Drosophila melanogaster: one gene and its partners. The protein of the gene in region 3 interacts with the protein of the main gene of each other region in a pairwise test. Each region holds a gene or a part of one and is shown on either strand. Other genes may lie near its edges.

Evidence for each region.
Region 1: the proteins of CG15547 (region 3) and CG10465 interact in a two-hybrid assay, tested with the Drosophila melanogaster proteins (one large-scale study listed by BioGRID).
Region 2: the proteins of CG15547 (region 3) and Uro interact in a two-hybrid assay, tested with the Drosophila melanogaster proteins (one large-scale study listed by BioGRID).

The regions. Positions count from the first base shown.
Region 1 is NT_033778.4:5,339,264-5,343,021, reverse strand, and holds CG10465 (uncharacterized protein), read left to right. Parts: upstream 1-2,026; 5' UTR 2,027-2,279; coding exon 2,280-2,460; intron 2,461-2,509; coding exon 2,510-3,234; 3' UTR 3,235-3,316; downstream 3,317-3,758.
Region 2 is NT_033779.5:7,777,927-7,781,684, forward strand, and holds Uro (urate oxidase), read left to right. Parts: upstream 1-2,158; 5' UTR 2,159-2,191; coding exon 2,192-2,765; intron 2,766-2,834; coding exon 2,835-3,319; 3' UTR 3,320-3,489; downstream 3,490-3,758. Other genes in the region: CG7179 (uncharacterized protein), read right to left, coding at 1-59; CG7164 (uncharacterized protein), read left to right, coding at 3,709-3,758. UniProt on the Drosophila melanogaster protein: Catalyzes the oxidation of uric acid to 5-hydroxyisourate, which is further processed to form (S)-allantoin.
Region 3 is NT_033777.3:30,881,453-30,885,210, forward strand, and holds CG15547 (uncharacterized protein), read right to left. Parts: upstream 2,052-3,758; 5' UTR 1,948-2,051; coding exon 1,676-1,947; intron 1,620-1,675; coding exon 1,531-1,619; intron 1,476-1,530; coding exon 664-1,475; 3' UTR 340-663; downstream 1-339. Other genes in the region: Sap-r (Saposin-related), read right to left, coding at 2,461-2,465, 2,524-2,665, 2,723-3,198, 3,268-3,758.

The DNA of each region.
Region 1 (3,758 bases), on a different chromosome or scaffold from region 3:
TGATGTTTAGATGATGTTAGTTTCTTATTCTGACACTTTGCCAAAACATTTGGCAAGTCTAGTAGGTTTAGAGAAAAGAGTAAAATAAGGAATTAAGAATTCTAAGAGCGTTACTCCTAATTGTTCTATTCATTTCCTTGGTTATTTCTCTGTCATTTGCATATGTCATTAAAATTTTTGTTATGAGTAAAGCAATTTTCTTGTTAACTTTGTTGTAGAATTCTGTAATGCTTTAGCGCCCCTGTCTAAGGATGCATAATTCAGATTCGAGAATATGGATTGGCCTTTAATCTTTATAAACAAAATCCAATCTGGAAAGAATTGCGTTAAAGTTTAAAACTGTATCATGGTTAGTTAGAGCATCATGTGTTGCTCCCATGATTTTATAACGTAGTATTGGTAAACAGATAAGATATTGTTCACTTCGAATTTTATATAGACCCATGACAGTTTCTGCCGCTTCTTACTTGCCTAGAACTCTCAACTTTGGTAAAGATTTAATTACCTAAGCGGTAGTGTCGCACTTTATAGTTGGGTCAATTGTTTGCATTTTATAAACTCTACTACATTTCTGCTAGCGTTTAACTGCCCTTCTGTCCCTTCAATTTTTTTGGTCACTTCTCCCAATTGTACATTTTTTAATCGGGTAATTAATTCCATTTTCAGATTCATGGCGCTGGTTGGTGCTGAACCTCCGGTTACCATTATTAAATTTAATTTTCAAAACTATTAAATTTTCCAGATTGTTTTCTTTAATTAATTGATACATTTGATGTTGAAATGTTTAATTTTAAAACTCTATGGTATTCCTTATAGCTTTCTCTAATTTTATTAATTTCTTTTAAAGACTTAATATTAATTTCTGGTCACGATACATTTTGTTGGAGTCTTATTAGGTCCTTTAGGTTAATTGTCCTGATTATTTACTGTCAATTGTTTGTATTTAGCTGGGGCGGGGGATTACCATCAGGTCATCCTTTCTTCTTGTTGATTTTTTTATTTTTGGGATATTTTCGGTAATAGTTTTTGGCTTTTTGTTTCAATTGTCTTTCTTGCTGAGTCTGATTATTATTATTCTTGTGTTCTCGTAGTTTGTATTAAGAATTTAGTCCACATTTTTAAATATAATATTCTTAGTTGGATTATTGCATTTATAATTTCCAATTAAGTTTTTCCACGATCACTGCCACAGTAGTTAGATGTCGTTGGATTAATGTGGATGTTTTAAGAATGTGAGTGGTTAGCGGCGCGAGTTTCGTTTTATATTTAACTTATTATTGTTAATATTTTTTTAGAACTTTTGAACTACACCGCTATACGTTGGGCGCTAATTAATCGTCCCGATTCAGTCTGATTTTTAAATCTTAATCCTAATCCACTCAACCTCGGCCAGAAGCTTTTATTTAGAATTCTCTTGAACTTTATACTGAAATTATTTCACAGCATTATGAAATTGAAATTTGCTGACTGGTGTTTACGTTAAGTTTGGTCATTTATCGGATGGTTAAGTGCTGGCGACAAAAACAAAAACAAAGGAAATGCTGCTGAGATCGGGGTATGAAATTTGTTTATCAACAGAGCAGGGTGCTATATTTACGGGTGGGATAACTTATATGTATTGTAATTAATCGCACATGGGGCGGTTATATATACATACAACTTTTATTTTAATAAAATTGAGTTTCACGTTATCAGATGCGCTGAGCTGATATCTTACTTGTAATCTCAGGTATGCAACATAAAATAAATAAAATAAATAGCTATTAGATAATGAATATATTCTGATTCACTCAAAATTACTTTAATATGGCAACTTTTGAAAATTTGATTATAACTAGAAAAAATAGCGCTAAAATTTGGCATTGTTAAGATTTCAATATTTTAGCGACAGTCCCTCTCTTGTATAGTTGTTGTGTTATCTAACAGGAGCATTCTAATTTTCAGCAAAACTGTGGACGGTATGCATATTTAAAATCACGTTGTTCTATGGTATACCATGTGGTATAGACCCACTCTTGTCCAAACAGGCCCTTAAAATATAAATTGAAATCGATGGGTCGTTTCCATATCGATATTTTCTCAAATTTTTGAGCTGTCCAAAACAATAAATACATACATTAAATATACCTTTAATACAATACATTGAAGTCAAAATACAATTTTAAATTGCTAATCACTATTTCGCCGAATTTGCATAAACGCATGAGAACTATGACCGACTAAGCAAGTTATCTGAATGCAGTAGCTGAACCCCGAAAGCTAGAGAACAAAAAGTATAAATGTCGGAATCAATGTCAGGTGATCACAAAATTTTATTAAAAGGACATTCCTCCCAATATTTAAAACTTAATGTTGGTGGTCATTTATATTATACCACAATTGGAACACTGACGAAAAACAATGACACAATGCTGAGCGCAATGTTTAGTGGTAGAATGGAAGTGCTGACTGATTCGGAAGGTTTGTTACATGTTCTTATACGGAATAATATTAATATACAAAATTCTAGGATGGATTTTAATCGATCGCTGTGGAAATCATTTTGGTATCATTCTTAATTATTTAAGAGATGGCACTGTTCCATTACCAGAAACTAACAAGGAAATTGCAGAATTGCTTGCCGAAGCCAAATACTACTGCATTACCGAGTTAGCTATTTCTTGTGAACGGGCACTATATGCTCATCAGGAGCCAAAGCCAATTTGCCGCATTCCACTTATAACTTCACAAAAGGAAGAGCAGCTTTTATTAAGTGTTTCTTTAAAGCCGGCTGTTATTCTTGTGGTTCAGCGGCAGAATAACAAGTATTCGTACACAAGTACATCAGACGACAACTTATTAAAAAATATTGAATTATTTGATAAGCTTTCTTTGCGCTTTAACGAACGAATTTTGTTTATTAAAGACGTAATTGGGCCAAGTGAAATCTGCTGCTGGTCATTTTACGGACACGGAAAAAAAGTAGCTGAAGTGTGTTGCACTTCAATAGTTTATGCAACTGACAGAAAGCATACTAAAGTTGAATTTCCGGAAGCTCGTATATACGAAGAAACGCTACAAGTCTTGCTTTATGAAAACCGCAATGCACCAGACCAAGAGCTCATGCAGGCAACGTCTTCAGCACGAGTAGGAAGTGCAAGTGGAACCAGCATTAATCAGTACACAAGCGATGAGGAAGAAGAACGCACTGGACTAGCGCGATTACGATCCAACAAGCGTAATAATCCGTCCTGATTTACAAAACTCTATTACATATGATTGACATTGTTTTTTATAAACGATTAAAAAAAATATATATATGTTTTCTTTTCTTAATAAAACTTGCTATTTCTGCTGTGTGGTCTGCTATAGGTGTAGTTGAAATAAAATGGTTTTTTTTTTGGTTATCCTGTTAAGAAGAAATTCCGTGTTTTCCACATATGCGTTAATAAGCTTTCCTTCCCAAGCCAACTGTAGAACGATGCTTTGTTAAGTTGATAGTTCCGATCATATTAACTAGAAATGACATTCCCTTTGCACTGTACACCTAACAGTGGATTGCATAAGCGCTATTCTGTTCCGAAAATTACTACTACTGGTTTAAAGTTATTAATAAAACCTCTTCAGTTCAAAACTAAATATCACGTTTTATCAGCGATGTTTTTTAAATTTTCCGAAACATCGATGTTTAATTTAGACTATCGATGATTTTAGGATCATCACTATTCGAAGAACAAGAAGAAGAGCTATAATTTCTTCAGCTAATTTAATTAACTTAA
Region 2 (3,758 bases), on a different chromosome or scaffold from region 3:
CCCTGGGCTTCAAATGGAATGACACTCAGTACCAAGAGAAGGACTATTGGCAGCTCCATGTCGTTGTTCGTCCGCTGGTAACGCGCTCAAAGACGCAACTAACTCGTTGCGGTTCACGAGACATCGATGTTTGCCTGCCAAAAAATAATATTTTACATGGGTGCGTCGCAGGTTTCACTGGAAAACAATTTGCACTTTTGTTTGTGGAGTCGACAACAAAAGCATTCACTTGTCTAAGACTCTCTCATTCATAACTCGCACTTTAGTTCACTGAACCGCACGCAAAACTTTGGGGCGGACAACATGTTTTCGAGGTGCCAAAAGCTTCATAAAACTACCAATCCATTAGATTAAATTCCAGGCGGTACATCTTTTGGGGATGATTCATGTGGCAGGGGTTCTCTACTCGTTTACAATCATATCATCATCTTCAAGATCATATAGTTTATCATATCAGTAGAGTACTACAATATAATGCATAAACTAAGCCAAATAACTTTATGACGCGTGCTTATGCGAAAGTAAACTTTATTATCAAATTTACTTAACCGTGAAATCAAAACCTTTATATAAACACGAATATTATTATCTTTGCTAAATAAAACTCTCGCTTAACAAACAATGACACTTCAATTCCAACATAGAGTTTATCTTAAGCCAATAACCAAAAACGGAACTTACATAACTTGCCAACAAACATATGAATATAGCTATTTCGGATCGTGGGAGACCATTATGCATACAAGGCACGCTCCTAAAAACCGTGTTAAACAAATATATGTCAAATGTATATCTTAAAAAAGCGCGCACATATCTTTTGAAATATCTTCACCCAGAGTATGTATGAGATTAAACTGGATTAGCACTAAGCCACAGCTTCTGTAGATAGAAATTTTATGCAGAGAGTAGATTATTTGGCTGCTGAGCAATTTGACCACCACAAGATAGCAGAGAACATCTGACATTTTCTATATCCATATAATAAAACTGACTTAACACTAAGCTGAAGTGGTATGTTTAAATCCTCCAGCTAATAAATCGAGACTAAACGCCCTATCTTATAGTGATATATAATAGTATCTATATGTGTATTGTCATTTACTGTTTATGAGTATTTGAAAAAACCATTCTATATTTTATAGGTTAGTTAATAAATATTTTGATATACATATGTAGATTGGCTCACACGTACTTATGACCCACTACATAATAAAATTGTTTTGTTTTTTAATAGAATAATGGTTTATAAAAAGTTTAGACTCACACGGAAATGATAAACTCTTTGCAAATACAGCTTTCATTTTATTACAAATTGCACTCTTTCAGATCTGCAGTTGCTATGCCAACCTTTTATTCCCTTTACTAAAAGGGTATACTAGGCTTACTGAACAGTATGTAACTGGTAAAGTAAAGCGTTTCCGATTCTATAAATTATATATCTAAACTTTTGATCAGTCGAATCCATCTGAACACATTCTGTCACATTAGATTATTCCAGAAACTCAACTTAAACATGTGTATTTTTTAAGACCATTATCAAGGATATTAAAAATGGTCTCCTAAAATTTAATAAACAAAAGTGTCACATCAAATTTAAGACGTAAATTAATATTTTTTTTCTATGGTGAAATAATTGTTATTTTCCAATGTTGTGAAATAATAAATGTATCTTTTCAACGCACACATTTTCAAGGTTTTAATAATAATAGTGACTCGTGCGTGAATAAGAGAGAAATTAAGATTTTAAAAAAGAATAAAATTCAGAGATGTGATCTGTAAAAATTATTTACCAATTTTCATTTACCCCCGAAAGTGATGCTAATGGTTAAAACGGCATTTGCGACTTATCTCCTACGTAATATTGCAAAAATAAGGATTTGGTTAGATGAGTGTGAAGTAAACAAGATGCAAAGTTTTGGAGATAGAAAACATAGCCTTGAGTCTTGGTCATGTTTACTTGGCACCAGGCCGCGATTATCAGCGCTACTAGTCGTAATTTGAGTTAGACCTTTAATACTCTAAGTGAGAGTGATGATATACGATTTCCCAGCCACTTGCTTTCTACGAAATGCGCTAAAAAAAATCCCTAACTACACAAAGATTTGTGTTGTTATCCAGGTGTTCTGATATAAAAGGCGGCAAGGAAATTGATGGCATCATCAGTATCAAAGTGAGAGTGATTGCAGTCACAATGTTTGCCACGCCCCTCAGACAGCCAGCTGCGGCTAACCACCAGACCCCAAAGAATTCCGCCGGCATGGATGAGCATGGTAAGCCGTATCAGTACGAGATTACCGATCACGGATACGGCAAGGATGCGGTCAAGGTGCTGCATGTCAGCCGCAACGGACCCGTGCACGCCATCCAGGAATTCGAGGTGGGCACTCACCTGAAGTTGTACAGCAAAAAGGATTACTACCAGGGCAACAACTCGGACATCGTGGCCACCGATTCGCAGAAGAACACCGTCTATTTGCTGGCGAAAAAGCATGGCATTGAAAGTCCCGAGAAGTTTGCTCTGCTCCTGGCCAGGCACTTTATTAACAAATACTCGCACGTGGAGGAGGCGCACGTTCATGTGGAGGCGTATCCCTGGCAGCGAGTTTGCCAGGAGGAGACCAGGACCAACGTCAATGGGAAGTGCGAGAACGGAGTCCAAGGGAACTGCGACTTCAGCTCCATTGACAACAGATCACTGCACAATCACGCTTTTATATTCACGCCCACCGCTCTTCACTACTGCGATGTGGTTATAAGGAGAACAGGTTAAGTCAAACATAACTAAAGCAATAATATTTAAAACTACTAAATTATCACCTCCTTTACTGTTTTAGATCCCAAACAAACGGTCATCACGGGCATCAAGGGTCTCCGGGTGCTGAAGACGACCCAATCCTCGTTCGTGAACTTCGTGAACGATGAGTTCAGATCTCTGCCAGATCAGTATGATCGCATCTTTAGCACCGTGGTGGATTGCTCCTGGGAGTACTCCGATACCGAGAACTTGGACTTCCTCAGGGCCTGGCAAACGGTCAAAAACATAATCATTCGTAACTTTGCTGGCGATCCGCAGGTGGGCGTGTCCTCGCCCTCCGTTCAGCACACCCTGTATCTGAGTGAAAGACAGGTCCTGGATGTCCTGCCGCAGGTGTCGGTCATTTCGATGACCATGCCAAACAAGCACTACTTCAACTTCGATACGAAGCCCTTCCAGAAGATTGCACCCGGCGACAACAATGAAGTTTTCATCCCAGTGGACAAGCCACATGGCACCATCTATGCCCAATTGGCCCGGAAGAACATCAATAGTCACCTGTAGATCGATCTCTGATGTAGTAAATCTAAATCAATCTAAATCAATTTAGCCAATTCATAATTGCATGCGGCGAAGTTATATATGTATTTTAAATTATTTAAGCAAACGAATCATATGCTGCGTTCTTCTTATTTAAACAATAATAAACTAATAAAAAATAAAGTGTAAAAATGAATAAATCGATTGCAAAACCATATTTCGAGATCACCCTTGCCTTGGCTGAATAAATCCAAATTATATCAGAACTATTTTCTAAAATCCTAAAATGAGGCATCGTTCATAAAAAAAAATATATAAAATAAATTCCACAATTTTCGACCACTTTGGCAGTCAAAATTCGCAATCTAAATTCGAAATTAGCAAATAACCATTTAGCCACAAACAGCGTGACCATGACCAATCGACTGGCCTTGCACCACATCCTGACCACCCAGCTGCGAAG
Region 3 (3,758 bases):
TCCAAAATACTGATGCGCTGCTTTAATCATTTAAATATGTATAAAATCATACGATTGGATTTTAGCCTGCTCGATGCAGCTTAAATATTACTTGGCTTGACTACCAAAAGTACATATTAAGGTGTACATTAAAGCACAACCCAAATCTAGATTACTCCTTCCATCAAAGTAAATCGCTGAAATCCAAATAATCCAGGCGAAACCTATTGTTGTTCTTTAATTGGGTTAATTGCAACCACTGCAGGCCACTTTGCCCCGCGAAAAAGTGTGCCATATGCAACACACACTTTTGCACCGAAAGTTGGCCCATAAATTTAATTTGATTTCATTGTTTGTTTTAATTTACAACGATTTTTTTTATTGGACACTTGAAAGGGGCGAAAAAACTTTGCCATTTGGCCAGCGGCAAATTGGAGGCTAAAAAGCTGTTGCTCCTGTTGATTTTCCTGCCGTGTGGGATGCACTTTTTAGGGGCAAATAAAGAACTGCAGGACCAGCATTTTAAACCCTCCTCCCAAAATTCTGCGAGTGCGCAATTGCCAGTTTAAGGTGGTTCAACGGGTGCAATGGCTGGTGATGCAAAAATTGCGCGCATTTTAGTCCATTTTTTCTATGCTTCGCCAAACAAATGATGGGGGCAACAGGTGTACTAGTGAAACAAACTTATTCCCCTGGTGGAGCTTCCTCTGCGGGAGCTTCTGCTGCGTGAGGATGTTCTTCAGCCACTGCAGGGACTTCAGGCGCAGCAGTAGCCTCTTGGGCAGGAGGAGCCACTTCAGGAGCGGGAGCAGTTTCGCCTGGCTCCCCAGCAGCAGCGTCACCCTCTTCGGACTCGTCATCTTGAGCTGGTGGCGGTGGAGCTTCATGAACACTTCGGTCTGACTCCGCATCTGAGCCCCCAGACTCGCCTACGCCTTCCTCCTCCAGGTCGTGCAGGTCCTCCTTGGACTCCTGCTCCTCAGCCTCCGGTTGGATTTCCTCGTAGACAATAACTTCCTTCCACAAAATCTCCTCGTCCACACAGACTGGCTCCTCGTCATGAGGTTCTACGCGCTTATTAAGGTCCAGATCCGAAATACCGGGCTGAGATCTTTCGAAGCCTCCACAGGTGACACAGGAAGACGATGAGAGCAGCATTGAGGAATGCGGGGATGTGGTGGACAAGGGTGCACTGCTGCTCTGCGTTTTCTTGACTCCCGGCTGCGCGGCCCGCGCACTTGGCTTCGGAGCATAGGTCATGGTGGTCTGCTGCGATTTGTCCTGGATAGCCACATCCGGTCGCTGCTGGCACTGGTTGCTGATTTCCGGCATCTTTGGATTGCTGCGCACCAGGTAATCGGAAACACGCACCTTCCAGTTCTCCTGGCTGCAGTCGGTGTTCTGCATTATGTCGTAGATCTCCTCGAGCAGCGGCTTAAGCATCGGCCTGTTGCAGAAGTTGTTGTGGTCGAACATTTGATGGGGCTCGTGAATATCTGAAAAATTCGATATATTATTTTTTACTTTATTAATCTCTGTATCGCTACTTACAGTTGGGAAAAATAAAGTTTATCTCACGAGCCACGCTGTAACTGTTCTTGGTGACATGGATATTGCGTTCCAGATCCGATGCCGAACCACTTAAAGTCAAATTGTACCTAGAGAACTTATTATTTTATTTTAAAAGCAAACTCACAAATAACAAATCATGATGTTGAGCAGCTCCTGCACGGCGTTTTCCTTCGTAACTATGAACGCCTCGGAAACACCCTTCGAAAGCAGAATGACCTCCAGCATAAACCCCTTTTCATCGGCATAATCGGCATAGAACTCGGCGGCAGTTTCTGGCGAAAAGGCAATCCGTCGATTACCCTGAATCTGGAAGCCCTCGGCCAGCAACTTTAAGAGCACCGGACGCCGCTTGTGCAGATAGTCCGGCTTAATGATAAACAGGGAGTTCTCAAACATGTCGGCTAGAAAATATATACTATTCCAAGGGGAATTGGGAATTTTCAATAATGTGCTACTATGTCGGTTTAAGTTTTCTGTATGATTTATAAGATCAATGTTCGTATTTTACACAGTTTTGCTTGATATCTTAAACTACACACACTGCTCAAATGACTTCGGACACATGGGGATATCGATACAAAGTTTGCGGCTCGTGAATTTCGCTAATTTTTATGTTGAAATTACGATAAGGGTACTGCTTAGTGTAAGTGTTAGTTTAGTTAAGTTTAACTTTTTTCAGCCGGCGTTTGAGTGCGTTTATAAATTCAGTTTCATCACAAATTCACCTAACAAATTTAGAGCCAAAAACCGGGGTACAAAACGAAAAGTAAGTAATTATGTTTCATTTACAGTAAATCGTTATAGAATGTAAACAGATATATGTAAAGGTATATGCATATATAAAGCGTGGGATCGGGTCCCTTCTCCTTCAAATCCTCCGCGCCTGGTTCGTACATCACAACGCATCACTTAGGCTGTTGAAGATAGTAAATTAGTAAATGTATTGTTTGGGTCCTTCAACCTATAGCTTACCTGAAATTCTAGCAAAGGCCAGCGAAGACTTCTCGCTTTCGAAACACTTGCCAATCTCGGCGCAAATATGCGACTGATCAATATAGGGTCGTTTGGCCAAGTTCTTAATGCTACTGCCATAGATGGAGATCATCTCAGAGCACTGCAACGCAAAGGAACTTATAGATATTTATAACATTCAGGATTGTAAGTTACATACGATCTTGTAGTACTTGGCTGGCAAGTTCTCGCATCCCACCGATGTCATCTGTAGGGCTGTCACTTCGGATACGTTATCTTTCTTCTCGCGCAGGAAGGGCAACAGAGCCTGGGTGACTCCATGGCACACACCACACTCCAAAACTTCATCGGTGACGGCCACGCTGAAGCAGAGCTGCAGTTTCTGGCACACCTGCTTGGGCGGCACATCGCTCAGCAATTTCAGGACCGCAGAGGCATATCCATCGACGAAGGTGTCGCACTGTTTGCGCACCGTGGCTGGCAGGCGATTGCACACGGCTTCAATCGCTCGCTTAATGTCGTCCTGTTCGGTCTTATTCTTTAGATCGGCATCCAACTTGGTCATGATAAATTCGCAAAGGACGCAGGTGGGCGGCTCCTTGATGCTGCTAGACAGCTTGTTGTCCTGGCGCGGCAGAGCAATCACGTCGTACTTCAAAGCCTCATCCACTTCGACTGTATTACGAAAATGAAATTCATTAGTTTAAACGTATACTTAACGTAGCTCTAGAATTTAATACTCACGATCATCCAGATCAGCCAGGATGCACATTCCCAACTCCGTGCAGATAAGCTTGGGATCCATTTCCTTTAACAGCAGATCGGCGATCTTATCGCCGTACTTGTCGATAACCTTGTGGCATTTAGTGTTCATTGGCTTCCTCATTCGGTCGCAAGACTCCTCCAGGATATGCTTGATGCTGTCTCTGGTGGGGTGCTTGCCCATACGCTTCTCCAAGGTCTTAACCAACTCCTCGCAGATCAGGCAGTTCGGAGCAGCGGTGAATCCTGGGTCGAAGGCCAGCTGAGGGGGCAGCTCCTCAAGGGACTCAATGTCATTGAAGCTGATTTCCTCACTGCTGGATTTGTCCTCACCATCGACATCGTCCTCCAGCGAGATGCGCAAGTCCCAGAGAGCGTAAGTGGTCTTTGGGCAGAGCTTCAGTTGGACGCAGATCTCCTGCGGCTTAAAATCTGTGATCAGCATGTCGATCAGCTCATTGGAATAGGTGTTC